Callithrix jacchus: one gene and its partners. The protein of the gene in region 1 binds, or shares a complex with, the protein of each later gene. Links are inferred from orthologs where the notes say so. Each region holds a gene or a part of one and is shown on either strand. Other genes may lie near its edges.

What was found.
Region 2: the proteins of GIPC1 (region 1) and MYO6 are in contact, whole or in part, in a crystal structure (PDB 5V6E), measured with the Mus musculus proteins. The link is inferred for Callithrix jacchus from reciprocal best matches to the Homo sapiens genes GIPC1 and MYO6. Residues at the interface, in NP_061241.1 of Mus musculus: Glu273, Ser274, Tyr275, Met276, Gly277, Ile278, Arg279, Asp280, Glu282, Leu283, Thr286, Asp310, Phe311, Ala312, Pro314, Glu316; in NP_001034635.2 of Mus musculus: Ser1055, Lys1056, Trp1057, Lys1058, Tyr1059, Ala1060, Arg1084, Arg1085, Leu1086, Val1088, Tyr1089, Trp1092, Lys1093, Asn1096.
Region 3: the proteins of GIPC1 (region 1) and plexin-D1 are in contact, whole or in part, in a crystal structure (PDB 5V6T), measured with the Mus musculus proteins. The link is inferred for Callithrix jacchus from reciprocal best matches to the Homo sapiens genes GIPC1 and PLXND1. Residues at the interface, in NP_061241.1 of Mus musculus: His61, Glu141, Ala142, Leu143, Gly144, Leu145, Thr146, Ile147, Thr148, Asp149, Asn150, Gly151, Phe156, Lys158, Arg159, Arg190, His191, Tyr192, Glu193, Ala195, Arg196, Leu198, Lys199; in NP_080652.2 of Mus musculus: Glu1400, Met1889, Glu1893, Arg1899, Gln1902, Gln1904, His1905, Glu1908, Ile1918, Tyr1919, Cys1921, Tyr1922, Ser1923, Glu1924, Ala1925.

Annotation. Positions count from the first base shown.
Region 1 is NC_133523.1:13,273,685-13,284,154, reverse strand, and holds the start of GIPC1 (PDZ domain-containing protein GIPC1), read left to right. Parts: upstream 1-4,190; 5' UTR 4,191-4,323; intron 4,324-4,605; exon of another isoform or gene 4,606-4,765; intron 4,766-6,741; 5' UTR 6,742-6,796; intron 6,797-8,611; exon of another isoform or gene 8,612-8,700; intron 8,701-10,470. UniProt on the Homo sapiens protein: May be involved in G protein-linked signaling.
Region 2 is NC_133505.1:80,984,086-80,994,647, forward strand, and holds the start of MYO6 (unconventional myosin-VI), read left to right. Parts: upstream 1-3,725; 5' UTR 3,726-3,923; intron 3,924-10,562. UniProt on the Homo sapiens protein: Myosins are actin-based motor molecules with ATPase activity. Unconventional myosins serve in intracellular movements. Myosin 6 is a reverse-direction motor protein that moves towards the minus-end of actin filaments.
Region 3 is NC_133516.1:72,537,716-72,547,517, forward strand, and holds part of plexin-D1, read left to right. Parts: intron 1-1,725; coding exon 1,726-1,833; intron 1,834-1,918; coding exon 1,919-2,031; intron 2,032-2,879; coding exon 2,880-2,984; intron 2,985-3,523; coding exon 3,524-3,654; intron 3,655-3,995; coding exon 3,996-4,194; intron 4,195-6,147; coding exon 6,148-6,294; intron 6,295-6,442; coding exon 6,443-6,599; intron 6,600-7,453; coding exon 7,454-7,557; intron 7,558-7,644; coding exon 7,645-7,708; intron 7,709-8,493; coding exon 8,494-8,528; intron 8,529-8,779; coding exon 8,780-8,884; intron 8,885-9,450; coding exon 9,451-9,614; intron 9,615-9,802. UniProt on the Homo sapiens protein: Cell surface receptor for SEMA4A and for class 3 semaphorins, such as SEMA3A, SEMA3C and SEMA3E. Plays an important role in cell-cell signaling, and in regulating the migration of a wide spectrum of cell types.

The DNA of each region.
Region 1 (10,470 bases):
GATTCAGACAAGAGGACCTGCAACATTTTTTCCTATGATAATTCATGTCAGGGTATGTGCAGAGGAAGGATAACCCAGCCCTGGGGTCAGCTGGTGGTTCCCTCTGCCCCACCCACACCTGCCAGGGACCCCACCCCTGTGCCCTAATTTCTTCAACTCTCCCACCAGGGAGAAGCAGATATTCACTCTGGCTCCAGGAGAGCCCCTCTTTCCTGAAAGACCTTTTGTCTTTTTCTTTTTTCTCTTTCACTCTTTTTTTTTTTTGAGATTTAGTCTCACTATCACCCAGGCTGGAGTGCCATGACATGATCTTGGCTTACTGCAACCTCTGCCTCCTGGGTTCAAGCGATTCTTCCACCTCAGCCTCCTGAGTAGCTGGGATTACAGGCACCCACCATCATGCCCAACTAATTTTTGTATTTTCATAGAGTCAGGGTTTCCGCATGTTGACCAGGCTGGTCTTGAACTCCACCCACCTCAGCCTCCCAGTGTGCTAGGATTTCAGGCGTGAGCCATTGCACCCGGCATTAACAAGTGGGGGCGGCTCTCTCCTGCCTCCTGGTGGTTTCAGCCATCCTGAGCCTTCCTTGGGGTCATATCTGCATTGCTCCAGTCTCTGCCACGGCCCTCCCCGCTGTGTGCGTCTGTGTCTCCTTTTCTGTCTCTTGTAAGGACACCCGTCATTGGATTTCGGGGCCAACCACCCTAATCCAGGATGATCTCATCTCAAGATCCTCCACTGAATGACATCTTTGAAGACACTTACTCCAAGTAAGGTCACATTCACAGGTTCTGGAATGTGGGCATTCCTTTTAGGGTGGGGGCATCTTTCAACTCATTAAACTGACAGAGGCACTTTCCATAGGCCTGCAGCGTGGAGGGGAAGAGGGCTGGCAGGCCCCGGACCCACAAGCCAAGGCACAGAGCTTGTTAGGATGCAGGGAGGGGCTCCTGGACAATGAGCCAGGGATGAGGCCCCTAGGCTGGGGATCTGGGAACCAACACACACACACACACACACACACACACACACACACACACACACACAAGCCTGATGTGGCTGAAACTGAGAGAGCAGGAGAGAGCAGGACCGGGTGTGTTTAGGAATGAGACACACCAGGCCCTGCATTCCTGAGTTGGAAGAGAAATTGAGAGTTTAAGTCAGGAGGGGCAAGGCCCGATTTTCTTTCACATGGAAGTCAGAGCCAGGAACTGGGTAGTTTGCCTTCGTGGGATCCCAACGCTCCCCAGGAATATTATGCTGGACATCAGTGTGGCCAGGTGTGACTCCTAAAAAAAAAACACACTTTGGCTCACAGGGACAGGTTTTTTTGGGGACACATGGCCTCGGGGGGTGCGGTCCTTGGTCGAGAAGGAAGGTGACTTGATTCGGGTGCTCACGGACGCCCTCTGGCCGCTGTGCAGAGAACTGACTGTAGGGCTGACAGTGAGGGTGGAGCGGGAGGACCAGGGTGGAAGCCGCTGCACCGGGTGGGAGGTGATGGGGCTGGCTGGACTAGGAGAGGTGTGAGCAGGGTACGCCACCATACTAAGCTAATTTTTGTATTTTTAGTAGAGATGGGGTTTCACCATTAGCCAGGATGGTCTCAATCTCCCGATCTTAGGATCTGCCTGCCTAAGCCTCCCAAAGTGCTGGGATTACAGGCATGAGCCACCTCGCCCAACTGGATTTTTTTTTTTTTTTTTTTGAGACTAAGTCTTGCTCTGTCGCCCAGGCTGGAGTGCAGGAGCACAAAATCAGCTCACTGCAACCCCCGCCTCCTGGGTTCAAGTGATTCTCCTACCTCAGCCTCCTGAGTAGCTGGGATTACAGGTGTTCACCACCACACCCATTTAATTTTTGCATTTGTAGTAGAGACAGGGTTTCACCATGTTGGCCAGGATAGTCTCAATCTCCTGACCTTGTGATCCACCTGCCTTGGCCTCCCAAAGTGCTGGGATTACAGGCTTGAGCCACTGCACCTGGCCCGACACTGTCTCAAAAAATAAAAATAAAAATAAATCAGAAAGGAGATGCCCAGTGCCGCTTTGTGTCTTGAGCAATCACATAATCCCATCACCCCTTCTCTGGGCATTTCCTCATCACACAACAGGAGCCAGGTGGATCCTGGCTCAGGACTTTGCAGCCTCAGTCATGCTGTCCCCTGGGCTCTCCAAGAGTGCAGGGGGCAGCTCAGATGCCAGGCTCAGGCAGGGCAGGCAGCACAGTCCCACAGAAGGCACTGGCCAGCCCAGGCACCTATTGCTCAGTGGGATGGCAGAGGTCAGCAGAACAGGAAGAGAGGGACAATAGCTGTGCCTGTTGCCTGGCCTGCCACAGCCTTCTCAGTGTTTGCCAGCTGGGTGGGGCTGACTAAGCAATCCTCAGCAGTGAAGCTCAAGGTTTCATCTTCTCTCTCTCTCTCTCTCTCTCTCTCTCTCTCTCTCTCTCTCTCTCTCTCTCTCCTCTCTCTCTCTCTCTCTCTCTCTCTTTCTCTTTCTTTTCATGACAGAATCTTGCTCTGTCGCCCAGGCTGGAGAACAGTGGCGCGATCTCAGCTCACTGCAACCTCCGCCTCCCTGGTTCAAGCCATTCTCCTGCCTCAGCCTGGCGAGTAGTTGGGACTACAGGCACGTGCCACCACGCCCGGATAAGTTTTTGTATTTTTAGTACAGACAGGATTTCACCGTGTTAGGATGGTCTTGATCTCCTGACCTCATGATCTGCCCGCCTCAGCCTCCCAAATTGCTGGGATTACAGGCGTGAGCCACCATGCCGGGTCTCCATCTCCCCTTTCACTTTACCCCTCTGCAGGTCCTGGTGGGGCTGAGTTGCACACAGTCACACCCTGGAAACTGCAAAGAACCAGTCATCCGATGAAGCTTGAGCAGGGTCTCAGCGCTTAGAGGCTTCCAAGAACTACAGTTCCCAGAACACGCAGCATTCAGTTGCTGTCCAAGTGGCTGGGTTTGAACTAGAACAAGGAAATCTCGCCTGTCCTGGGAACTGAGCGTCCTGGCCTGTTCCAGGTGCGTTTGTGACTCATGTTTCTTGGATCTGTGCCCTCCTGAGAAATCCCCGTTCCTTATAAACTACCTGGTGCATTTGTCCACACAGGTTTGCTGAGAACCTGTTATGTGGCAGCTTGAGATGGGAGTGAGGGGTTGACGAGAGAGACTCAGTCAGCCTCCATCCTCACAGTCAGATGGAGACAGATCCATCAAAGGTCGGAGGCTGGCTGGGTACCCTCTGTGATCTAGCACGTAGTAAGTGACCAACAAATCAACAAGCAAATAAAAACTATCTCACTCTTGTCTTTCATTCCATCTTGCCTTTCCACACTGATTTACCAGCTCCCACGATGTTGCACTATCCTAAAGCGTGCTGTAGCTCTCTGGCTTTTGCACACTCTGTTATCTCTACTGGAAGCATATTCGGCTTACTGGCTCACGCGTTTGTCTGTAGGACAGAGCCTGGCACGGAGCAGAGGGCACATTAAATATTTGATGAGTGAGTGAATGAATGAATGAATGAATGCCTTTCTCCATTGTACACTCCAGGAAGCAGGGACGCTCGGGACCCTCCGTATTTATCTCTGCCCCCCGCCCGCCCCTAGAGTATGAATGCACTTTTTATCAGCTCCGAGGATGGCCAGGCTGGGGCAGAGGCCGGGCGGGGAACTGGGTTAGGAGCTGCCATCGACCCCCCACCCAGGCCTCCTAAACGGTCCACTTTCCCGGACGTCGGGAGTTCGCATCCTGTCCCCGAAACTTGGCCTCGGTCACCTGACTCCCCCGCCCCTCACCACCCAGGGCACCCTAGACGGACATTCAGCCAACAGCACGTGGTTCAGGGGCCCCAGCTTCCTTCCCATTGGCCGCTCGCCTCCTTCCTTCCCCGCGATTGGCCGGGACCCAGCCGCAGCTCCGCCCCCCCTCCTCAGCCCTCTGGTGGTACAGCCCGCCGCGGCTCAGGCGGGGCGGAAAGGTCCACTGCTTTGCGGCGCAGGGGGAGCCGGGAAGAGCCGGGTGAGGCGGAGGGATCCCTCTGGAATGTTTCCGTCGGGTCCACCCGAAGCGGGAGGCGCGGATTGGCCGCGAGCTCCGGAAGACAGCCGCTAATTGGTCTTCCGCGGGCGTCGGCCCCGCCCCCCTAGGCGCCACTGCGGGAGAGGCCCAGGCAGGAGTTTGCGGAGGGCCGAGCCGGGTGCGCGCGGGGAGGCGGTGGCGGCGGCGCAGGTGAGTGGCCCCGGCGGGAGGGATGTGTCCACTCTGGGGGCCCCGGATGTCGCGGGCCCGCGAGGATCCGGCGGATCGTGCAAGGTGGGGCGGGCCCCGGGGACGCGACTGGAGGTCTAGGCTGAGCGCGGGGATGCCGGAGGCCCCTTCCTGGGGGGAGCGAGGGTGGGGGTGGTGGGGGCAGCTCCCTTCCTGCTGGAGGGCAGAGGGCAAACGCCTCCCAGCACCAGGTAGGGGTCTCCGGGCTTGCCCCTCCCCCCTCCCCCTTCTAGACGGCCCCCATCCCGGGGGGGACAGGCGTGGGGTCGATGTTTCTGACCCTTTCCTGTCCATTTTCCCTGAGCGAACCGCGTCTGAACCCTCCAGGGCCTGGGGCACGCAGTGAGGACCAGGGCCTGGATAATTATCATCATGAAAAACTCCACCCCAGCTAGCATTTATGGAGCGCTTCCGTGTCAGGCATTTACCATGCGGATCATTGAATCAAAACACTTCATGGGAGGTGTTGTGCCTTCTTGTAAAAAAGGTGAGGCAGCAGGCTCAGAGAGGTGGAGTGACTTGCTCAAGGTCACACAGCTAGTAACTGGCACATCTGGGGCTGGAACTCATGCCCCCAGGGTCCAGAACTGGAGTCTCAGCCACTAGACTTGATACCCACTGGCTCCATAGTTCAGTTGTTGCTGAGCAGCTCCAGCCCCTACCCCTCCCACCCCTACCTCATACTCATCATCAGGGCCACACTTGTTGGTCTTTTGTTTCCTTCCCCCCCACCCCCACAACCCCCAAAGATCACCAGATACCAGCCACTCAAACAGGAAGCTGCCCTCATGTCCCTTCTACCCTGAGCTGGAGAGGGCAGGTTTGACTACCTGGGTCCAGAGAAGAGTGACATCTGCAGGGGCCCAGGATGCTGGGGTCCTGGGCCTGCTGGGTCCCCCCTGGCAACCTGGGCCAAGGCTGAGCAGTAGGCGTTCTCCAGGGAAACACCCAGGAGCCGGTTTTTCAAGAGTGAATCAGAGGCCTCTCTCCCTCCTCTCCAAGGCAACACGGTGTGGGAAGGGGGAGCCTGGGCGTGATTTCCCCCTTCCCCTAGCTTCTGTGTGCTCCCAGGAACCCCTTTCCCTCCTCCTGCCGACCACACTGTGTTTCTGGATGGCTGTGGGGTTGCGAAGTTTCAGGCCCTTCCCAGGATGAGGGGGCCGGGATGCCGAAATTCCAGCCCAAACAGTTAATATCCAGGTCGAAGTTTCTCTTCTTCATCTCTGCGTTCAGGTGTGAGGGGAGCCAGGGAAAGTGGGGAGTTAGTAACCCCACAGTAGGCATGTTTGGGGGGCTGTTTTGAGGATGGAGGTTTGCAGAGAGCAGTCAGAATGAGGACCTGAGACACATTCATTCATTCTACAAATATTTCAAGTGAGCACCTACTATGGGCACGTGCTAGGCACTGTTCTTGGCACAGAAAATAACATAAATGAACAAAAATTCCTGCTCTTGAGGAGTTGGCACTCTGAAAGGAAGCAGCCAACAGCAAGTTATCAAGTAAATAAAGAAGATAATTTCAGATGACACTAAGTGCTATGAATAAATGTGTGGGTAGTACTATAGAGGGTTGTGGGCAGGGGGTGCCAGTGCCAGGAAGATCAGATAAGGGGGTTGGGCAAGGTGGCTCACACCTGTAATCCCAGCACTTTAGGAGGCCGAGGCAGGTGGATCACTTGAGGTCAGGAGTTTGAGACAAGCCTGGCCAATATGGGGAAGCCCTGCCTCTACTAAAAATTAGCCAGGCGTGGTGGTGCATGCCTGTAATCCCACCTATTTGGGACACTGAGGCAGGAGAATCACTTGAACCTGGAAAGTGGAGGTGTCGGTGAGAGGAGATCGTGGCACTGCACTCCAACGTGAGCAACAGAGCAAGACTCCATCTCAAAAAAAAAAACAAAACAAACAAACAAAAAAAAACAGGTCGGGCAAGGCCAAGGTCTTTCTTTAGGCTGGACCAAGCTTGGAATCTAGTTGGAGCAGATGAACCCAGAGCAGGGATTCTGCAGGGGTTTGTGGGTCACAGTAAGGAGTTTGCAATTTTTCTTCCAGAAGGTGGGAAACCGTTGTAAAGTTTCAGTCAGGGCAATGATGCCATCTCATTTATGTTTTAAAATAGAGACATGAAGTTAAATGACAGCCTGAGGCTGGAAGACAAGAGTTCTGCCAGGGCAGCATGCAATTAAGTTCCTGGGCCTGAGCTGTCTGTACCACAGGGGAGGTTCCAACATGCTGGGGCAAGCCTGGGAGGCTGCCTGGAGGAGTGAGCCTGGAGTAGGTCTTGGCAGGCAGAGAGGGCGGGGATATTCCTGGGCAGGGCAGGGCAGAGAAGGCGATACCAGTAATAATGACAACAGCTTCCTTACATGGAGTCTGAGGCAGAGTATAGATGGGATACGTGGGCAATCTCTTTGGATTTCCATAACCACCTTGAGAGTGACAGGAATTCTACCCATTTTTCAGATGAAGAAACTGAGGCCCTGTGAAGTGAAGTGACCTGCCCACAGCCACACAGCTGGTAAGTGGCAAGGGTGGGATTTGAACCCAGGCCATGAAGCCTCTTATGGCTGTGGCAGGCAGATTCATTAATCACTCACTTTCCTCCCTGCTGTTAATCCTCACTCACGGGTGGGGACACAGAAGCCAGCATGAACCAGGGCAGTGGGTGTGGACAGAGAGAGAGTAGGGAGGTTGGGAATCTTGGTCAGGATGTAGGGATCTTGGAAGTTTGGATCTTGGTACAGATGGCAGTAGTAATAATTGTCACCAATATTTACAAAAAGCTTATTGTGTACCAGGACTATTGCAAGCACATGTGTGATTTCCTTGGAGCTCAGAGAGGTTAAGACCCTTACCCAAAGCCACACAGCTAGTAAGAGATGAGGCCAGGTTCCAGACAGGTTTTTAGCTTCCTGCCTCCCAGTGCACAGAGCTGGTGGAGTTGGGGGGGTAATGACGGATGACAAAGGCTTTTTTCTTTTTCTTTTTTTGAGACAGGGTCTTGCTCTGTCACCTAGGCTGGAGCACAGTGGCATGATCTTGGCTCACTGCAACCTCCACCTCCCAGGTTCAAGCAATTCTCTCCTGCCTCAGCCTCCCCAGTAGCTTGGATTTCAGGCATGCAGCACCATCCCTGGCTATTTTCGTTTGTTTTTTTAGTAGAGACCAACCTGACCAACATGGAGAAACCTCGTCACTACTAAAAATACAAGAAATTAGCTGAGCATGGTGGCACATACCTGTAATCCCAGTTACTCGCGAGGCTGAGGCAGGAGAATCACTTGAACCTGGGAGGCAGAGGTTGTAGTGAGCCGAGATCGCACCACTGCACTCTGGCCTGGGCAACAAGAGCAAGACTCCGTCTCAAAAAAAAAAAGAGAAAAAGAAACCACACAGACAATGAAAGGTGAGGGAGATGCTATTCCTGCCTTCCTGGCTAGCTGAAGCACCTACTATGTGCCTAGCACCAACCTGGGAAGCAAGAGATGTGGGGGCCACAGAATGGGACTTGTGCTTTTGCTGCAGAGATGAGAGCCTTTGTCTTCCTGGGGCCAGGCACCCAGACTGCTGGGTGTGTGGATATTGGGATCATTCAGTCATCCATTCATTCATTCAACAAATATTATTGGCCGGATGTAGTGGCTCATGCTTATAATCCCAGCACTTTGGAAGGCCAAGGCAGGAGGACCACTTGAGCCCAGGAGTTTGAGACCAGCCTGGGTAACACAGCAAGACCCCATCTCTCCAAAAAAAAAAAAAAAAAATTAAGGCAAGGTGCCATGGCTCATGACTGTGATACCAGCACTTTGGGAGGCCGAGGCAGGTGGATCACCTGAAGTCAGGAGTTCGAGATCAGCTTGACTAACATGGTGAAACCCCATCTCTACTAAAAATACAAAAATTAGCTAGGCGTGGTGGCATGTGCCTATAATCCCAGCTACTAGGGAGGCTGAGGTAGGAGAATTGCTTGAACCCAGGAGGCAGAGGTTGCAGTGAGCTGAGATCACACCACTGCACTCCAGCCTGGGTGACAGAGCGAGACTCTGTCTCAAAAATAAAAATAAAAATTGGCCATGTAAGGTGGTGTGCTCCTGTAGTGCCAGCTATGGAGGAGGCTGAGGCACGAGGATCACTTGAGCCCAGGAGGTGGAGGCTGCAGTGAACTATGATTACACCACCACACTGCAGCCTGCACAACAGATGACACCCCTGACTAGGAAAACAAACCGAGGCTGGTTGTGGTGGCTGGCTGACACCATTTTCCTTCCAGTGAGGCCAGAGCCCGAGGAGGGGTCATAACAGAGACAAATGTGACGTGACTTCTGTTTTACAGGACCATTCTGGCTGCTGTCTGGACACGAAGTCGTGGGGGGTGAGGGTGGAAGCTGGGAAACCCACCAGGAGGCAAGAGCAGTAGTTTAGGTGAGTGATCATGGAGATGGACCAGGTAGGAATGCATTCGTGAACAAATGGGTACATAAGATTGGGTGCGGGCCGGGCAGGGAGGTTCACACCTGTGAGCCCAGCACTTTGGGAGGCTGAGGCAGGCGGATCACGAGGTCAGGAGTTCGAGACTAGCCTGACCAATATGGTGAAACCCCATCTCCCGAGTAGTTGGGATTACAGGTGCCCACCACCACGCCTGGCTAATTTTTGTATTTTTAGTAGAGACAGGGTTTCGCCATGTTGGTCAAGCTAGTCTCAAACTCCTGACCTCAGGTGATCCACCTACCTCGGCCTCCCAAAGTGCTGGCATTACAGGTGTGAGCCGCCACACCCAGCTGCAGCTCAGGTCAGGGCCTTTCTACTGGCTGTTCTCTCTACTTGGAATGTTCTTGCCCCAAATCATTGCATGGTGCTTCCTCCTGTCATTCAGGTCTCAAGTTCAGCATCACTTGTTCAGAGAGGCACTTCCTGATCTTGTCTATAGAACTTGTCTTGCTTTGTCTCCATATCAACATTAAAAATTATATGAGGCTGGGCACAGTAGCTCATGCCTGTAATCCCAGAACTTTGGGAGGCTGAGGCTGGAGAATTGCTTGAGCTCAGGAGTTTGAGACCAGCCTGGACACCACAGCAAGACCCTGTCTCTAAAAAATAAAAAAATGAGCAGGGCATGGTGGCAAGCCCCTTTGGTCCCAGCTACTCAGGAGGCTGAGGTGGGAGGATCACCTGAGCTCACCACCTAAGGCCTAACTGCACCACTGCACTCCAGCCTGGGCAATAAAGCAAGACTGTCAAAGAAAAAGAAGAAAACAAAAGAAAGAAAAAAAATAGTATTAAACATTTACACCTTTCCCTGCTCACTGTGCATTTCCTCTTCCAGAGATTGTGGACAGAGCCCCAGCTAGCCTATGTATATAGCATCTGTGAGTGAATTAGAAAGACATCTCTTCAGCCAGGCGTGGTGGCTCACACCTGTAATCCCAGCACTTGGAGAGGCCAAGGCAGGTGGATCTCAAGGTCAGGAGTTTGAGACCAGCCTGGCCAATATAGTGAAACCCTGTCTCTACTAAAAACACAAAAAGTTAGCTGGGCATGGTGATATGCACCTGTAGTCCCAAGCTACCTGGGAGGCTGAGAGAGGAGAATCTCTGGAACCTGGGAGGCAAGGTTGCAGTGAGCCAAGATGGTGCTACTGCACTCCAGTCTGGATGACAGAGCAAGACACCGTCTCAAAAAAAAAAAAAAGTCATCTCTTCCTCCTGGTAGACACCACACCAAGAAGCATAGCTTTGCAGGCAGAGCACAGGCTGAGTTCAGTCCCACTTGCTGCCTTGGTCTAATACTTTTGCACAGTGTACAACTCGTGTAACTGCACGTGGTGACCCTAGTCAGGGATCTTTTTTTTTTTTATTGAAGGCAATATCTAAAATGGTGCACAGAATCTAGTAAGTACTAAAAAAAGTGTTTGAAGGGAGGGGAGAATGCAGAAAGAGAGAAATAAAGAAACAGGGGCCCAGCACGATAGCTCACACCTATAATCCCAGCACTTCAGGAGGCCGAGGTGGGTGGATTGCTTGGGGTCAGGAGTTCAAGACCATCCTGGGCAACCTGGCAAAACCCCATCTCTACTAAAAACACAAAAATTATCCAAGCATGGTGGTGTGCTCCTGTAGTCACAGCTACTCGGGAGGCTGCGGCAGGAGAATCACTTGAACCCAGGAGGCGCAGGTTGCAGTGAGCTGAGAT
Region 2 (10,562 bases), on another chromosome or scaffold:
GCATCTTGCTGTGTCACTGAGGCTGCAGTGCAGTGGCGTGATCAAGACTTCCTGCAGCTTCAATTCCCCCACCCAGGCTCAAAGAATCCTCCCACTTCAGCCTCCTGAGTAGCTAGGAATGCAAGCCCAGCTAATATTCTGTATTTTTTGGTAGAGATGGGATTATACCATGCTCAAACTCCTGGGCTCAAGCGATCTACCCACCTCGGCCTCCCAAAGGGCTGGGATTACAGGTATAAGTCACTGTATCCTGCCAGTGCATGCAGTTTCTTACAAGTGTCAACTCTCTTGCCATTTGTTCATCCGTCCTATTTATTCAAATAGTAATACTAATGGTAGGCACTGCTTAATGAGTGACTATCATGTGAAAGACTCTCTGCCTGGCATTAGGGATGCAAAGATAAGTCCCTTATTACGACCTCAAGGAATTTTACAGTCTAGTTGGAGGATACTTAGAAGTAAACTTAAGAAGCAATAGTGAAATATGTATTTGAAGAGATATGTGCAATGAGTGTTAAGTGAGAGATGGGAAAGAGCACCAAAAAGCACCTAGGATTTGCACCAAGGGGGTTTAGGGAAAACTTACTGGAGGAAACAAATAGGCTTTGTTCTGAAGGATTAATTGGATTTAGCTTGGCAATGCTCCAATGTAATAAATAGCATAGCCTTCTGTTCTGGGACACATAAGTACTTCAGAATGGCCTGAATATAAAGGACAAGAAATAGAGAAAGGCAGTGGTAGAAATGAGATTGGAGAGGTAAGCAGGGTTGACAGTGAATGTAAATCATTCCAAAGACAGGCAGGTAACATTGTGTGAGGAAGCCTGGCTTAAGACAGATAGCTTTGTGACTTTTGGGCATCAATGAATTGGGGACCTCATAACCAATGAAAAGTCATTAAAATTCAATTAAAAGAAAAAAACATGGTCAGGCACAGTGGCTTATACCTGTAATTATGGAGCCAAGGCAGGGAGGATCACTTGGGTCCAGGAGTTCAAAATCAGCCTGGGCAATATAGAAAACCCTTGTCTCTATAAAAAATAACAAAATAAAAAAACTGCCTAGCAGTGTGGCATGTGCCTATAGTCCTAGCTACTTCACGTGGCTGAGGTGGGAAGATTCATTGAGCCCAGGAGTTGGAGGTTACAGTGAACTACGATTGCACCACTGCACCCCAGCCTGGGTGATAGAGCAAGACTCTGTCTCAAAACACAAAGGGCTGGGTGTGATGGCTCACATCTGTAATCCCACCACTTTGGGAGGCCGACGCAGGCAGATCACTTGAGGTCAGGAATTCAAGACCAGCCTGGTCAACGTGGCAAAACCCTATCTCTACTAAAAATATAAAAATTAGCCAGGAGTAGTGGTGTACACCTATTGTCCCAGTTACTTGGGAGGCTGAGCCAGGAGAATCCCTTGAATCTGGAAGGTGGATGTTGCAGTGAGCTAAGCTCGAACCAGAGCACTCCATCTTGGGAGATAGAGGGAGACTCTTTATCAAAAAAAAAAAAAAAAAAAAGAGGAGGAAGAAAAGAAATACCCATTATATTAGACAAACAAAAACAGCCAATTTGTGGCTAGTGGCTAAATCAAGCAGGACCTTACAAGACGTCTTAAGTGGTTTGCATTTTATATCAAGAGTTGGGGATTGCCATTACAGGAATTTAAATAGTGGAGTACATAAAAGACTAACTGATGACATTGTAAAGACTGGATTAGAAGGGGACAAGACTGTGGTCTGGGAAACTGGTTAGGTGACTAAGGCAGTATGCAAGACTTGAAATGATAGTGGCTTGAAATAAGATAATGGTAGTCGCTATAAAGAGGAATTTGATACATTAGAGATATATTATAGAGCCAGAAGCAAAGGCACTCAGTAATGGATTGGTAGCAGGGGGACAAAGAAGAGAAAAAAGATTCCCAAAGTCATTAGTTACAAAAACATCTTTAAAATGTATTGATTTCTCTAGGTGTAGTGGCTTACACCTGTAATCCCAGCATCTAGGGAGGCCAAGATGGAAGGATCAATTGAGGCCAAGAGTTCAAGACCAGCCTGGGCAACACAGCAAGCCTTGTCTTTACCAACAACAACAACAACAACAACAAAATTAAAGAAAGTATTGATTTCCATTGGTTCGCCTAATGACGTTTAGTATTAAATCCAAAATTGAGTCAGAGCAGTGAACTCGGACAGCCATCTTCATTTTCTCCTTTATTTCAGTTTGCTTTGAAATTTAGTTTTATATACTTAAGACTTAACTTCTGGCAATTTGGAATTAATTTCTGAGATTGCTGTAAATTATTTCCTTTCTTTGTTTCTCTTCCTCTTTCTTGCTTCCCTATTTTATTCTTTTTTGAGACAGAGTCTAGTCAGTCTGTCACCACCCAGGCTGGAATGCGGTGGCACGAACTTAGCTCACTGCAACCTCCATTTCCCGGGTTCAAGCGATTCTCCTGCCTCGGCCTCCCAAGTAGCTGGGATTACAGGCATGGGCCACCATTCCCAGCTAATTTTTTGTATATATATATTTTTAATTAAAAATGGAGTTTCGCCATGCTAGCCAGGCTGGTCCCAAACTCCTGACCTCGTGATCCGGCCGCCTCAGCCTCCCAAAATGCTGGGATTACAGGCGTGAGCCACCATGCCCAGCCCCTATTTTATTCTTAATATTTTGTTTTAGTTGAAAGCTAAAACATCTTGCGAGACCTCAGTTTTTTTTTTTTTTTTTGTTTTGTTTTGTTTTGTTTCTCCAAGAAAACCGTGAAGCCTTTAAGTATCAGAAATTCTCTTCGGAATCTTCAGAATTCCAGAAGTTTCCAAGTCGCTACATATAAATGTTGCAGAAAAACGTGCAACTCTCATGTGTAAGTAGGCTATCTTTTTTCCCCGGATACATTTAGCATTATAGTCCATTATCACTTCGTTGCCTTAACAGAAGCTGTTTTCATCGTAAAGATGATGTGTTTTCACCATATAATTCAAATTTGCATAGGTACTTCATATTTTAAAAAGTGATTCACAGATATGTCACGTATAAAAACAGTAACATTTAAACGACTGAGAAGGTAGGGACTCTAAAAAGTAAATGCAGCGGCGAGGGTGGGAGTGGGGAGAAGCAAAGGGGTGCGAAATTCACATCTCAAGCCCTCCCTCCTCCAAAGGCCGACTGGAACTTAGTTGTGCAGGAACGTTCCTCCCTATGCAGGGCAGCCCAGCCCAAGCCGGCCAGATCCGGAGCCGAGGTAGCCGCCACACAGCCTCGCTGCAGCCCGGGCGCGGCCACCTGGTCCCTGGGTCCCCAGCGCGGAGCCCCGGACTCCTCGCCCCCTCTCCGAACAACTTTCTCCCTGCTTGAACTGATTCTTGCTGTTGGCAGCCTGCACAGTCCCGGCATCAGCCGGAGAGGACCTGCCTCACTGGGACTGGAAACAGCTACCGCGACGAAGGAGGCCGTTTCTCTGTGCGAGGAACCAGAACTCCCGGCTTGTCCAGGGCAGCCCCTCCCTGCGCAGCAGGGCGCCCACCCCGCCCCAGAGGCTCGGCGCCGCGGGCGGGGCGACCCCGGGGGTACGGCGCCCTCGCTCCCAGAACGCGCGCCCCCTCCCGGCGCGCTCCCGGGGGCCGGCCGCACCGCGGCCCCGGCGCCCCCGCCCCCTCGGGCGCTCCGTAGCCGTGACGTGCACGCCGCGGTGCCGGGGACTCGGCTGGGCGCCGGCCGGCGGGCGGAGACCGACTCGGGATCTGTCCGAGCAGGAAGCCAGCCGCAGCCGGGCCGCTGTCGCCGCCCCGTCCTGCAGCGCGTCCGCGTCGTCGGCCTCTTCGCTCGCCCTCATCTCTCGCCCTCATCACTTCCCACCGCGCCCTTCAGCCTGAGCTGCACGAGTACCTCTGCCGCCGCGCACCTGCCTTCACGCCGGCACCGGTGAGTGTCCCGGAGCCCCCGCTGCGGGGCGTAGGCTCCGGGGTCTCGCTGTTCCCGGCCCGGCCTTGCTCTTGGGCCTCCTCGGGCAGCTCCCGGGCCGACGCGTCGGTTCACCGCCGGACGACGCGGGTGGGAGAAGCAGGTGATGGGTCGGCCCCGGGCGGCGGCGGCGCGCGGTGGGGCCGGGGGTGGTTCTTGTTTCCACAGAAAGACGTTTAGCCTCCTTTCACGGGTTATCAATCACCAAGGTCCCTTTGTGTTTCTTCCCTGGCTCCCAGGTAGAAGCAGAGCACTCAGGTGTCCAACTCGGACTTGGACACTTTGTGATAGTTTTATTTTCTCTTTTGTAAACACGCTTAAAATACAGTGCAGGGAGAGCGCAGTTTGTTCTGAGATGTGAAGATCAAATGATACCATTAATAGTCTAATCATGTAGAAGACCAGATTGAGACTTTGTAAAGCTTTATTCTTTGTCTCTCAGTACCTTGAGTATGTTAATTTACAGGTATGCTACTGAACAAGAACTTTCTTCTGTTAATTTCCAAAAACTCCCTAAAACGATTAAAATGCTCAAACTCTGGTATTTTAATTTTAAATAGGACATAATTTGATGGGGTATCCCTAGAACATCTGAGTTTAGAAGTATTTCCATACAGTTTCAAAAAATTCATTACATCTTATCTAGCATAAAGTGATACCGTGGAAAGATGCTTAACTCCTAATTTATGAGTATTAGTGAGAAAACGAGAAGAACTGCCCTAACTTAATAGACTAACTGTACGGGCTAAGTAAGTCTCATTTTTTTTTTTTTTTTTTTTTTTAATGCTCTGGTGGTATAGATGCAGTCTATCTAGTCAGAATTTGAGAGTTTTAAAATTAAGGTTCCTTTTTTGAGACGGAGTCTCACTCTGTCGGCTCACTGCAACCTCCACCTCCCAGGTTCAAGTGATTCTACTGCGTCAGCGGCTGGGCTTACAGGCGTGCACTACCGCCCAGCTAGTTTTTGTATTTTTAGTAGAGATGGGGTTTTGCCATGTTGGCCAGGCTGGTCTCGAACTCCTGACCTCAGGTGATCCACCCACCTCAATCTCCCAGTGTGCTGGGATTAGGCATGAGCTACCGCACCTGCCCTAGAAATTAACATTCTTAAGATTTAGCTGAAACTTATCTTCACAACATAAAACATGAATCTTGAACTTGGACTTGTAGTGGTCATGGTACAAAGGTTGGCGGCAAAGCAGCATTTCCTGTACAAATTAACTGAGCTTCCTAGATGTCTCAGGTTGTGGTTTTCCAACTGGAGAATGTTTAGTGAAAAAATTACCTCTGATCGGAGTCACGGCACGTAAAAAAAAAAACAAAAAACTTAACTGTGTCTTTTGCCTTTAATTGTAGAAACCGCCACAAATGTTACCAAGTGGACTATAACTAGAGCTTGAAACCATGCAGCCTTTCACAATAGCTCGCTGACTTTTATATATCCAGCTCGTTTTGAGTATTTTTACGTTAGGCAGGAATTACATCCACATCGGTAAACAAGTCATTGTAGTCGTATGTACATTTGCCCATTACTTTTGCATTTTTTGTGTGTGACATGCTGTTTATCATTCTCCATCTTTGTAAGTTACATTATTGTTTTCAGAAACTATTGTAAATGGCAGTAACAGAAGTATGAATGACATTTAAGGAAATATGTTAAAAACTGTATAATATATAAAACTATATATGATATACATATATATTCTTGGTTAGTGCCCAGAAACATGAGCAAGAAAAATGTAATGAACAATTATAATATTTAATGTAAATTAATGCAATTAAATATTGTATTAAAAACAAAAGATTGTAAATCATAACCAGTAGAGCTTATCTGAAATGGATTTTTTTCCTATTTATGTTTACGTGATCAAGTTTTAAAATAACAGTGACCAGGAAATCCGAGAGGCTGAAGGCTCTTTTCTCATCCTGTTGTGACTTTGCCTGGAGTCTGTGGTGTATCATGTAGCCCATTGTTTAGACAATTGGGCTGTATCTGGCTTCCAAAATGTAGCTTTCTTTAGAAAGTTTTTTAGAAAGTTTCAAAGATTTTGACCATGTGAGGTTTGAATAGATATATACATCCAAACATTTTTTAAAAATTAACCCATTTTAACTTTGTTGACAGTTGAGGCTCCGTTTTTGACATGTAAAATGTCAGTTTTAAGAAGAATTTAACTTCTGTACAGTTTTCATTTTTATATATTAAAATATCTAAAAATAAAATATTGAAAAGTGTTATAACTTAAATAAATCTCATAGAGTTTATTTATTCATTTTTTTTTTTTTCCCTGAGATGGAGTCTTGCCCTGTCACCCAGGCTGTGTAGTGTCATGATCTCCGGTCATTGAAACCTCCACCTCCTGGGTTCAAGGGATTCTCCTTCGTCGGCCTCCCAGGTAGCTGAGATTACTGGTGGCCGCCACCACGCCTGGCTAATTTTTATATTATTAGTAGAAATGGGGTTTCACCATGTTGGCCAGGCTGTTCTCGAACTCCTGAGCTCAAGTGATCTGTCCGCCTTGGCCTCCCAAAGTGCTGGGATTGCAATCGGAGTTTAATTATGATACCCATAATGAGATATTTCATAATGATTTATGAACTGGCCCTTTACTAGTATAAGATTATTGCACATTTGTTAGTCACCTGCCATAATTGGACAGATTACAGACTGAGGGACTTGATACAAAATTATTTTCTAGGCTGATGGCCATGGCCTTTTCCAAATCAGGAAGTCTCGGCTCAAAGAATTAAATGCTTGCTCCAGAGGGGCAAAGTCTGGATTCACACCTGAGTTATTTGACCATGGAGCCCATTTTTTTTCCAACCAGAGCAGTTTTCCTTGGTTTCATTTCACTTGGTGGACTGTTTAAACCGGCAAAACTGGTATTATGTCAAAGAATGTAATTCAAGGTTTGATGAAAGCATCCAGGAGTAGATGTGATAGGCCATGAATGTAGTTCTGGAACTAATTTAGAATTATGTGTCTTCCTTCTCAAGTTGACAGCCTTGAATAGTGATGCTGCTGCCTTCTCATTTCTCATGTAGTTCTAGAATGTTGTATGTATTGTGCACTCTTACCTTTGATAGGTTTATAAGAACTAGATTTAGATTGCAATGTTCCTGGTTAGGATAGGATTATTGCCCATAAATGCAGTAGCTGTCCTTTAAATTTTACATATTTAATTCTCTAGGGAGGGGGGACTTGTTTTCAGATGATAATTAAATTGTAACTTAGATACTATTAGGGCAAATCTTTTCTATGGCCGTGGAATATCCCTTTAGCTTCAATAGACATAAATGACAAAAGTGAGCACATAAAACCCATTTTGTTTTTTTTTTGGTAACACACTAGGAAACATGCATTTCAGCAGTAGGATATAGCTGGGTAAATGAGAAGAAAGATAGGAATGCCGAGTTGTGTGGCTGCGTTTACCAGGTTTTTCATTATTTGCTTTGAACTATTAGGAATTTTGCATCTCAAGGATATTCATATTCAACCATAAATACAAAACCACCACCTAATATAAATTAGTAATAGATGATCTGTGACACACACATCAAGAACTAGAGTTAAATAAGCTGAGTTCTCTTTTTGAGGCGGGGCATGTGTGTGTGTGTGTTTGTGTATGTATGTATGTGTGTATATATATATATATATATATATTTTTTTTTTTTTTTTTTTTTTTGAGACAGGGTCTCTTTCTGTCACCCAGGCTGGAGTGCAGTGGCATGATCTCAGCTCACTGCAGCCTCCACCTCCCAGGCTCAAGTGATCCTCCCATCTCAGCCTCCTGAGTAGCTGGGACTACAGGTGTATGCCACCATGCCTGGCTAACTTTTATGTGTTTGTGGTAAAAGATGGGTTTTACAATGTTGCCCAGGCTGTTCTTGAACTCCTGAGCTCAGATGATCTCTGCTGCCTTTGGCTTCCAAGGTGCTGGGATTACAGGCAAGAGCCACTGTGTCAGGCCGGCATAATGTCCAGAAGAACAAAGATCTTTTGTATTTAAAATGGTTCTGATGTTGTTTGACAAATTTGAGTGGACTGAAATTTTTGTGATATCTTTCTAGTTACTGTTTTCAAAAAGTAGCTTATTTTTCTGATTGATTAGTGTAAGAATGGCATACTGGTTTGAGAAATGACCATAAGTCCACCAAAAGGTTTCCCTGTGAGTACTGAAGCATAGAAAGTAAAACCTAAAGAAGAAATCTGGCATCTTCAGATATCTTGCTGGTGCTAAAGAGAGAGGAAATAATTTTTTTAATAGAAGGTATGTCTCAAGTGAAACCAAAACACCAAAGCACATTCCTTCAGTGTATATTCACATAGGATAAATATCATGCTGAGTAATGTGCACAAAGGAAACTCCTGACAAAAACACAGGCATCTTTTGAGTATGTTAGGTCATTTGTTATTTTATTTGAAAATAACCTGGCCAGGTACGCTGGCTCACACCTGTAATCCCAGCACTTTGGAAGGCCAAGATGGGTGGATCACCTGAGGTCAGGAGTTTGAGACCAGCTTGGGCAACATGGTGGAACCCCATCTCTACTAAAAGTACAAAACTTAGCTGGGCCTGGGGGTGGGTGCCTGTAATCCCAGCTACTCAGGAGGCTAAGGCAGGAGAGGAGCTTGAACCTGGGAGGTGAAGGTTTAGTGAGCTGAGATTGTGCCACTGCATTCCAGCCTGGGCGGTTGAGTGAGACTCCGTTCCCCGCCCCCCAAAAAAGTAACCCACTGACTAACCTTTACAAGGTAATATATTTTGTGTGGCAGAATTTTTTGGTTTGTAATTATGTGTGGATGATCATCTTTTTCAACAAATAATATGAGGGCCCGCTGTGTTTTAGTTGTTACAAGTGTGAACTGATTCCTCCCTGTTCTGGCATGTATTTGGATCCAGGAAATAGAAAGTGTTGCAGAGAGATGAAAAGATAAATGGAAACCATCCATTTAAATCCAAAAATGTATGTGCCAAAAGCTAATAACCTATATTTGTATGGCAATTTATTGCTTTAAAATAATTTTGTATACATTTGGTCCTTAAACAACTAGATGAAGTAGATTTAGTAAATTTATTCCTTTTCTACAGGTCAGGAAATAGAGACTCAAAAAATTAAAAATACAGGCTGCGTGTGGTGGCTCATGCTGGTAATCCCAGCGCTTTGGGAGGCTAAGGTGAGAGGATTACTTTAGCCCAGGAGTTTGAGAATACCCTGGGCAACATGGTGAAACCCTTTTATGAAAAATATTATACAAAAATTAGCTGGGTGTGGTGGTGGATGCCTATAGTTACAGCTATGTGGGAGGCTGAGGTGGGAGGATCTCCTGAGTCCAAGAGGTCAAGACTGCAGTGCACTGTGATTGTACCCCGGCACTCCAGTCTAGGTGACAGAACAAGATCCCATCTCTAAATAAATAAATAACTTAAAATTAACTGTCGCTACTTAGAAGCATCATTGAGAATGGAACCTCTCTCTGTGTAGTCCCAAAGTAGTAAGTTCTCCCTTTTCCCCCATTGCTTATGTATTTAACTTCACCTTATGGGTTCAAGTCAAGTGGTTCAGGAAGTTCTGAAAAATTAGGGTCACTAAAGTGATAATGTTTAAAGTGTTACAGTTTTATTTTTTAATGTAAGGCAGAAGATGAGCATGATGCATCATTGGACTGAAGTTGGTAATTAGCTTTTCTAGTTGGAGAATTTTCAAAGAAAGTCAACAATTAAAAAAAGGAAGGAGAAAAATATTCTGGGGGAATTTTGAAAATAACTTTTATTACTTTGTGCATTGGTAGTGATCTGATAGTTACAACTGTCTTTGTAAAGACTCACTAAAGAACTGAGTGTGTTACAGTGTTGGTTCTTTTGTTTCTTCATTTATTAAAAACATATTTGAGTGTCTACCATGGACCAGGCACTATTCTAAGTTGTAGGGGTACAGTGATTAAGACCAAGCCCCTGTAATGACATTTTGTTACTGTTTTGAATTAAGTTAATTATAGGCTCTTCATACTAGGGTATAATCAACAGGGCTGACCCTAAAGTTGGGAAATAGTTGTCAAAGTGGTGCAATTTCAAGGCTAATGAATGACTTATTTGCTCTGGAATAGTCTACTCCTGACCTTCTGTCTGTTGAAGACTCCCAGACTATTGGGTTATGGCACTGTTGCCAGCCTGCTTTGATAAATATAAGTATATTCCATCATTTGTCACACTTTCAGCAAAGAAGGCTGAGAGAAAATAAATGAGTTGGACACGATGATGCATGCCTGTAGTCCCAGCTACTCAGGAGGCTGAGGCAGGAGGAATGGTTGAGTCCAGGTGTTCGAGGCCAGCCTAGGCAGCCTCGTTTTGACTCAAAAAAACATGGCCAGGTTTTGACTCAAAAAAAACAAACAAGCAAAAATTAAATGGGACTAGGACTGATATGTTGGTGTTGTAAGAGAAGAGGCTGGCAAAGTATAGTTTTAATAGCAGCTATTTTTTTTTTTTTGAGACGGAGTGCCACTCAGACACCCAGGCTGGAGTGCAGTGGCACGATCTTGGCTCACTGCAACCTCCGCCTCCTGGGTTCAAGTGATTGTCCTGTCTCAATCTTTTG
Region 3 (9,802 bases), on another chromosome or scaffold:
TTTACTTTAGGTGCATACTATGTCTGGCATTTCTCCCCATGTTATCCCTCCCCACCCTCCGCTGTCTCTCCCCTACCCCCTAACTGCCCACAGTGTGTGATGCTCCTCTTCCTGAGTCCACTTGTTCTCATTTCTCTGAAATGTTTAGAATAGGGAAATCCATAGAGACTGAAAGCTGAATGGTGATTGCCAGGGGCTGGGGAAAGGATGAATGGGAGTGACTGCTGAATGGAAACAGGTCTTCTTGGGGCAGTAAAAATGATCTAAAGTTAGTGGTGGTGGTTGCACAACTAGGTGAATATACTAGAAACCATTGAATTAGGCCGGCTACCGTGGCTCATACCTGTAGTCCTAGTACTTTGGGAGGCTAAGGTGGATGGATAACCTGAGCCCAGGAGTTCAACACCGGCTTGGGCAACATGGCAGAACTTTACCTCTACAAAATTACCTGGGCATGGTGGTGCGCGTCTGTAATCCCAAGTACTTGGGAGGCTGAGGTGGGAGGATCACCTGAGCCTGGGAGGTCAAGGCTGCTGTGAGCTGTGATCACACCACTGTACTTCAGCCTGGGTGTCAGAGCAAGACTCTGTCTCAAAAGAAAAAAGAAGAAACTATTGAAGTATACTGTTTAAATTACTGAATTATATGGTATGTACATTATATCGCAATAAAGCTGTTTTATTTTTTAAATGAGTATATTCAATGCAGAAATTTTTTGGAAAAACTGAAAGAAGATAAAAGAAAAAAATACCCATCATTAATACCCTGTGTATTTTTGTATGCTCCCTCCCAGTCTCTTTTCTGAAAATACCATATATTAATAGATTTTTTTTTTTTTTTTTTTGAGATGGAGTTTCACTCTTGTTGCTCAGGCTGGAGTGATCTTGGCTCACTTCAACCTCTGTCTGCCAGGTTCAGGCGATTCTCCTGCCTCAGTCTTCTGAGTAGCTGGGATTACAGGCGCCTGCCACCTCGACCGGCTAATTTTTATATTTTTAATAGAGACAGGGTTTCTCCATGTTGGTCAGGCTGGTCTTGAACTCCTGACCTCAGGTGATCCGCCCACCTTGGCCTCCCAAAGTGCTGGGATTATAGGTGTGAGCTACCACGCCCAGCCTTAATAGATATTTTAATACCTTATATATATTTATGTATTATACATATTGTATATATGTATATATATACTCCTTCCCTCCCCAGAAAAGGATTATAATGTAATACTGCTTTGTAATCTGCTTTTAAAAGTTTATTAATTTACAAGTAACACCTGATCATGGTAGAAGGAACAGAAGATGCTCAAAAGCAGAAAGAAAGCAGAAGTCACCTCGAATCCTCTCACCCACGGAAAGCCACTGTTAACCACTTACACACACACACACACACACGCACACAAACACACACATTTGTTTTTTTTTATAAAGGGGGCTAAACAAATTCTAAAAGAGCTATAACACTACATATTTCTTTTTCTAAGGGCAAGTCAGCCATTGCTTTGCTGGCCATTCCTCAAGCCCTCTGCCTGTGGGAGAGCTCTCCCCAACCCCCCACCCCTTATCCCAACACTGCCTGGGAGGGAGGACTGCAGGGTGTCCTCCTCCCACACCCTGCCCATAGGAGCTGGAGCCAGGGCCAGTGAGCAAAGCCCCAGGCCCTGCATATAGCAGGCTCCAATAAAGGCTTTCCAAAGGGCGCTGGAGGCCTCACCTGTTTCTCCACTGCCCACAGCCCTGTTCGTCTTCTGTACCAAGAGCCGACGTGCTGAGCGCTACTGGCAGAAGACGCTGCTACAGATGGAGGAGATGGAATCTCAGATCCGAGAGGAAATTCGCAAAGGTAGTGGGCTGGGACCCTGCAGGGCTGGGCCTCTACTTTCCCACCTGGGGGAAAAGACGCTCACAGCTGTCCGTGTGTCCACCAGGCTTCGCTGAGCTGCAGACAGACATGACGGACCTGACCAAGGAGCTGAACCGCAGCCAGGGCATCCCTTTCCTGGAGTATAAGCACTTCGTGACCCGCACCTTCTTCCCCAAGGTCACCCTCAGCCTGAGCCTGTCCCTGAACCTGTGCTGGCCACCTCAGGGCAACTGGACCTCTCTGGTCCCTGCCAGTCTAGAGAGTCCCTTGAGCAGTGCCAAACTTGCACAGCTGTCCACAGCAGTCCCGGCCACTTCCCCTGGCCTGCCATGGGGCAGACGGTGGGGGGCAGATTCTCCTCCACTCTCATTCTCCACTCACTTGATATGTAACTGTCCATATGGAAGCCAGCTGCAGCCCCTCTCCCCTTGTCAAGGTGGGACAGAGTGGCCAGGGCTGCCCCAGGCCAGCCTCTCTCCTCCCTGTGCCTCTTCCCAGCCAGGCTTCCCTTGGTCTCTATACCCCCTCCTCCTGTCCACTGGGCTCCTGCCCCATCCCTTCCATGCTGCCCATGCCTGCCCTTGCCCGCCCTTGCCCTTCCAGGGTCCACTGCCCTTTTCCACCTCCTAGTGGTACCACCCTCCCTTCCCTGTCCACACCGTTCCCCACACAGTGGCTAAAACAAGCCCATGTTTGACTACATCATCTTTCATGAAATCCTCCAGCTGGCTTTTCCCAGCCTCAGGCTAAAGCTCAGACTCCCAGCCTCTCTGCCTCCATTTCCCCCATTGCACACAGAGCTGCTTTTGCTTCCCCTTAAGCCTTGTGTTCTCTTGTGGGGCCACACCCCTGGAATTTCACGACCCCCAGGCTTGGCCCATTGCCTCTTATTTCTTTATGGGGGGCTAATGCTATGCCAGTTTCCCCCAGCAGCCCAGGCCGGTGCCCCTTTCTGTGTGAGTGAGCATTGCATGCCATCAGGGGGTCTCCAGCCCCGCTGAGATGCTGGGGGTCTGCCTCTGCAGTGTTCCTCCCTTTATGAAGAGCGTTATGTGCTGCCCTCCCAGACCCTCAACTCCCAGGGCATCTCCCAGGTGCAGGAGACCCACCCACTGCTGGGAGAGTGGAAGGTGAGTACCCGCCCCCCAGCCCACACAGTGTGGGCTGCTTCAGGGCAGCCCTGCTTCTCCTGGGTCCCCTTTCCGGTTGATCTAATCCCTTCATTGATCCCTGTGGCATGGAGGTGGGAGGCATCTGCCGTTGTAAGGTACTGAGCCCTCCATCCCAGGAGGCATTCAGGCAGCCGTTCAGGATGTTATACGTGCTGACCCTCCCCCCACCCCACCAGGCCAGGTAGAGAGGACAGAGGATTGCCCCACCCCATATACCCCACTCCACCTGCTGCTTAGAGAATGGAAGGTGAGAGTCCTCCATACTGGGATGCTGGGTTACCTCCAGGCACCCTTACCCTTCTGTGAGCCCCACTTTTCAATTCAACTGAGCCATTGTTCTCAGTCACAAGTCACAAGGAGTTAGGAGGCATCCACCATGAAAGGTAGTGAGCTCCCCATCCCAGGAGGCATACAAGCAGCCGTCATAAGCACTGGCTTTTAGGCTAGGCAGGGACACTGGGCCCCCCTGGACACCCCGTCACCAATTGCTTCCACAGATTCCTGAGAGCTGCCGGCCCAACATGGAAGAAGGAATCAGCTTATTCTCCTCACTACTCAACAACAAGCACTTCCTCATCGTCTTTGTCCATGCGCTGGAACAACAGAAGGACTTTGCGGTGCGCGACAGGTCAGGCTGTGACAGACTAGCGAGGGGCAGGGGAGAGGGGCCTGTCCAAAGCCACACAGCATCAGGTCCTGGATCCTGGGACTCCTGACGCCCCCATATTCCAGCCCTTCCTGGGCCTGGATACCTAAGACCTGGGCTCATGGGGCACGGTGGTTGCCGTGGACATAGGAGAAGGTGGCTCTTTCTCCAGGCAGATTCCAGCCCCACTCACCCATCTGCAGGACCCAGTCACACAGGCATTCCTGGGACCGCTGAGCCCAGGGACGAAGCAGCACTGAAGCCTCGGGACCCCCAACTCCAAGGGCCTCAAGGCGCAGCTGACACTGGCCTCCCGCTCACAGGTGCAGCCTGGCCTCGCTGCTGACCATCGCGCTGCATGGCAAGCTGGAGTACTACACCAGCATCATGAAGGAGCTACTGGTGGACCTCATCGATGCCTCGGCCGCCAAGAACCCCAAGCTCATGCTGCGGCGCACAGAGTCTGTGGTGGAGAAGATGCTCACCAACTGGATGTCCATCTGCATGTACAGCTGTCTGCGGGTGAGGCCGCCCGGGGACAGGCAGAGCCCAGGTGGGGGACGTGCCAGGGATGCAGCAGCAGTGACCCCGAGGCCTTCCAGGCCTTCCCTGGCACCCTCAGGCCAGCTCTGCCAGGAAGGAGTGTTGCAGGAGACAGGCCCATAGGACCTGTTAAGCCGAAGGGGGAGCCGCAGCCCAGGGGAGGCCTGGCTGGACCTGCCACTCAACGCATGCTTGGGCGCATAACAGAGGTTGGGTCAGGGGCCTTGTCCCATTTGTGGTTTTTGCAGTCATCCAGCCCTTCCTGCTCTGGATTAAGGAGATTAAATCAGCCCCTGGCTGGCCCCTGAGGCTCTTCCAGCCCTAGGGGCGAGTACCTCGCAATGCCTCTCCCTGTCTGGAGGCTTCAAGGTGGCTTCCTGGAGCAGGCACCCCAGTGCTGAGCCCTAAGGGAGCAAGCCAGGCGAGGAGTGGTGGGGAGGGTCCTCCAGGTATTGGGTACTGCACAAGGGCAGAAGCTGGGAGGAGGAGATGTTCATGGAAGAAATGGAAAGAAGGCTGGAGAATCCTCCAGATGAGAGCAGAGGCTGGGAAGGGGGTGGGCCAGGTAGCCAGGGTCTCCTGCATTCCGACAAAAGGACCCCCTAAGCTCTCCTCTGCAGAGCAGGGGTTGCTCAACCTCTGGTCCCGTCCCACCATCCAGCTGCCCTACGGTGGCAGAGGCTAGAGGGCTGCCTGGAGGATTGTGGGAGAAAGGCAAAGGCCTGGCTGGAGCCCAGAACCAGGGCCTCAGATGTTCTGTTTTTTGTTTTAATTATTGAAGAGATGGGGGTCTTGCTTTGTTGCACAGGCCGGTCCCAACTACCAGGCTCAAGGAGTCCTCCTGTCTTGGCCTCCCAAAGTGCTGGGATTACAGGGGTGAGCCACTGTACCCAGCAAGCATGTCCTGGGCTTGAGTCCAACCTTTGGCACAGCCCAGCTGTGTGACTCTGGGCTACTCATTGCCCTCTCTGGGCCTTGGTTTCCTTCTGTCAAATGGGCCTAGAGGAGCCCCACAGCTCCTCCTGGGAAGAGGGGGTAGTAGGGTGGAACAGAGGCAGGGCCATTGGGGTGCCTCCACCTTCTGCGGGCTGCCTCGCTGTGGGCCATCAGGAATCACAGGGCCACTGTGGACCCTAGACCTCCCTCCCCTGGCTTGTTCCCATAGCCTCAGCCAGGCCTTCCCCTGTGAGCCGGTTTCCTCCTCTAGAAAGCGGGGAATCGGTGCCTCCCACACCCCAGACCTGGAGAACTAGACCAGGACGCAGGCTGGCATGCTGCCGTTGTAATCTTTGCCAAATCTGCCTAACACTATCGTGTACTTAACTTTTCTTAAAATCAATTTTGGTGGGTAATTAAGTAAAACTATCCCAGTGGAACACCTGGGTCACTTGCTGGGCAGTGGCCATGAGAATCGGCTCATGGCTGTGGGTCCAGCAGAGCCACTGCCTGGAGGGCCTCCCTTCAAGAAGGGCAAGAGCAGGGGCATTGAGCCCCATTCCACCTGGGACTCCACAGTCCTCAGCCTGCGAGTAGGGTCGAGGCCACATCGGTGTTCCAGGTTCACCTTAACTCACCCCTGCAGCTGCCCACTTAATAGAAAGTCACAGGCTTGGGAGTCAGCTGAGCCAGGTCAGGGTCCTGGCCTGCCACTTCCCAGCTGGGTGACCCTGGGCAGGTCACTTGCACTCTCTGGGCCTCGGCACTTTGGCTACACAAGGATGATACAGTGAACGCAGCCACCCGCAGCCGGTGGTGTTTAGTGAACACGAGCTTAGGGTCCGTGGGGACACCCTCGGGAGAGGGATGTTGACACCAGGATCCAAAAACAGACTGTTGGAGGGTTTGGGGGATGGGGGTGTGAAGGTGTTTGGCCCAAGACTTGGGCTTGGAATATGGAGGGGGCCTTAGCCCTAACAGCCCCATGCCCCCCAGGAGACTGTGGGGGAGCCGTTCTTCCTGCTGCTGTGCGCCATCAAGCAGCAAATCAACAAGGGCTCCATCGATGCCATCACGGGTAAGGCCCGATACACGCTCAACGAGGAGTGGCTGCTGCGGGAGAACATAGAGGCCAAGCCCCGGGTGAGCCGGCAGGGCTGGGAGGGTCCCAGGGCTGGGGCGTTGACCTTACGGCATTGACCCAGCCTTCCTGGGCAGGGCCTTGCTGCCTGGGCACCGACATGGTGATGGTGGCAACTCACTGACCTTTCTCTCCCGCCTTCCCCTGCAGAACCTGAACGTGTCCTTCCAGGGCTGCGGAATGGACTCGCTGAGCGTGCGGGCCATGGACACTGACACGCTGACGCAGGTCAAGGAGAAGATCCTGGAGGCCTTCTGCAAGAACGTGCCCTACTCCCAATGGCCACGCGTGGAGGATGTCGACCTCGGTGGGTGGGGATGGGGTGGAGCCCCATCAGGCTGCTTCAGCTGGGGCTGGCCCCTGCCTTGACGGAAAAACTCCTTCTACCTGGCATGGTGCATGAACGTGGGGACATGGAGAGGATCTGATGAGCCCCTCGGCCAGAAGCTCTTGCTCTGTGGGAGACAAGTCCTGCAGTGTGGGCGAGTAAAGGGCAGCAGCAAAAAGCCTTCAGGAACGGCTTCCTCATTCCTAAAGGAGGGGTGCAACCCCTAAAGTGGGTTGGTTTGTCTTTGAGACAGGGTCTCACTCTGTCACCCAGGGTGGAGTGCAACCACTCAGTCTCAGCTCCTGGGCTCAAGTGATCCTCTCATTTCAGCCTCTTGAGTAGCTTGGACTACAGGTGTGTGCCACCACACCCAGCTAATGTTACTTTCTGTAAAGATAGTGTCATGCTATGCTGCCCAGGCTGGTCTTGAACTCCTGGGCTCAAGTGATCCTCCTCCCTCAGCCTCTCAAAGTGCTGGGATTACAGGGGTGAGCTATGACGCCCGGCACGGAGTGGGTTTTGTGAGTCTTTGTGAGGCCAAGGGTTTCATCGAAATTGTAACATGAGCAGCCCTGCAGACAAGGCCACTTCCAGAGCTTCTCCTTGGTGTCCTCCATCCTGGCACCTTCACTTTGTACCCTCACACCCTCTCCCCCAGCTCATTTCCTGCCTTCCCCATTTTACAGATGGGAAAATGGAGGCTGAGAGAGGCATGGCTTGCCTCGGTTTCCATGGGGATAGCGAGAGGCCTCTCCCTGTGTGGCTGGGCCGGTACCTACCCCTCAGGCTCAGCTCCCTGCCCAGGCCCTGATGGTCTACTCCTTGTCCCCCAGAGTGGTTCGCCTCCAGTACACAGAGCTACATCCTTCGGGACCTGGATGACACCTCAGTGGTGGAAGACGGCCGCAAGAAGCTTAACACGCTGGCCCATTACAAGGTGCAGTGCTGCCCCCACTCAGTCCTCAGCCTCCATTCCCCCACCCCGGCCTCTGGCCACTGACCTTGTCCTTTCCCCTCTTGTCAGATCCCTGAAGGTGCCTCCCTGGCCATGAGCCTTATAGACAAGAAGGACAACACACTGGGCCGAGGTAGTGTGGGTGCACATGGGAAGGGAGTCTAGGCTACGTGTGGGTGGGGGCTTCCATCCTATGCCCCAGTGGGGAAACTGAGGCTCCAAGAGGCAGGGCTGTCCTGGGTTGAGGCCTCCTTGGTGGGGGCTGGGCGGGGCCAAGCTCCTCTGACCCAGTACTGCTTGGGCAGGACCCGCACCAGGCCTCTTCAAGCCGATTTCCAGCGGCAGCTGGAGAGAGTCCCGGGGAGGGCAGGAAGTGGTTCCAGGAGGTCTGGGCAGTGGCCAGGCCAGAGGGGAGCCAGCATGCCAATCCAGCCTGGGGCCATGTCCCTGCCTCAAGTCCCCTCCACACCCTCAGATGGCACAGCCGCCTGGTTGGCAGGCCTGCGAGCCCAGGCTCCTGGGTCTCCGGGTCCCCTACTGAGGTTGGGGGCAGAATCTCAGGTCTCCCCCAGCAGGAGCTCTGGGCTCCAGAGGGGTGGGCGGAGGCAGCTGCCCTGCCTCCCCGGGCCCCTCCTCCTCTGTCCCTCCCTCTGAGTCCCTCCATCCCTGTGGTCACTGTGTGTGTGTATTTCTCTCTCTGCCTTACTCTGCCTTGTTGGCTGTGTGTCTCTGGACCTCTCTCCTCTCTCTCTCCATCTCTCCCAGGCTCAGTCTCCCTGTGAGTGTCTGCGCCTCCGTCTTCTTCTCTCTGCCTGTTTGGATCTCTGTCTCTGTTTCTCTCCCTGTCTTTCTGTCTTCGTTTCTGTTTCTCTCTCCTCTCCTCTCTCATGTTTATTTATTGTGTTCTTCCTCTCACAGTGAAAGACTTGGACACAGAGAAATATTTCCATTTGGTGAGTGCCCAAGCTCAGCCCCAGGGGATCCGGCCCCTCAGTGGGTGTGGCCTTGGCTTTCTGTGGCCCTGGGCCTCTGGGAAAAGTGCTCCAAGCCCCGGGAAAGGCTGGGGGTGGAGGAGTGGGGATGGGGCCCCGAATCAGGAGGGAACCACAGCCCTGTGCGCTAAGAAGCATGGCAGAGCCAGACCTCCCACAGGCGGCCAAGGATGGGGCCTGGTGCGGATGCTGACCACTGCCTGGCCTCCCAGGTGCCGCCCACGGACGAACTGACAGAGCCCAAGAAGTCTCACCGGCAGAGCCACCGCAAGAAGGTGCTCCCAGAAATCTACCTGACCCGCCTGCTGTCCACCAAGGTGGGTCCAGCCTCAGTCTCCCCTCCGTGCAGTGGGTACAAGGGCCAGCTGTGCACATGGCTGGCTGGGAGAGGGCTGCGAGTTCTTCCTGTTTCCCTTGTGGAACTGGAGGGCTGGAGAGCTAAGAGGCTGAATGCTTAGGGTCTCAGTTGAGGAGGCATTTCCTCCCATTGCTGCCAGGAAAAATGCCTGACAGACACTTCTACGTTAGTCCACGTAACGTCACAGCAGAGGCCCAGAGGGGTCAGTGATGTCCCCAAGGACACACTCCACGCTCAGTAGCAGTGCCACCACCCCACAGCCCATACCCTGGCACCTCCAGTTCTGGACTCTGTGTCAGTGCCTTGATTGGTCCTTCCAGTGCCTCTGTGAAGCAAGTTTCGAAGGCTAACCCATTATCACAGACAAAAATACTGAGGCCAGATAGACTTGGTGACCAGCCTGATGCCATGTGGCTTCCTCATTCAGCAGCCTGGGCATTTCAAGCTCTGCAGAGCCACCAAGGGTGCCCACTAGCCTTCTGCACATGGCCTGGGGCTGATGGTGGCCACCCTGCTACCCTACAGGGCACGCTGCAGAAGTTTCTGGATGACCTGTTCAAGGCCATTCTGAGTATCCGTGAAGACAAGCCCCCGCTGGCTGTAAAGTACTTCTTTGACTTCCTGGAGGAGCAGGCTGAGAAGAGGGGAATCTCCGACCCGGACACCCTACACATCTGGAAGACCAACAGGTGGGGGCCATGCGGATTTCACTGTACCGTCGGGGCCCCTGTGGCAGGGGGTTCAGAGTCTAGCCTCTGGCCTCACCTACTTGGGTTTAAGCCCTCCTCTGCCATTTCCCAGCTGTGTGCTTTCAGATGAGTGACTTAGCCTCTCTGTGCTTCAGTTCCCCTCCATCCAGCTGTAAAATGCCACCCAC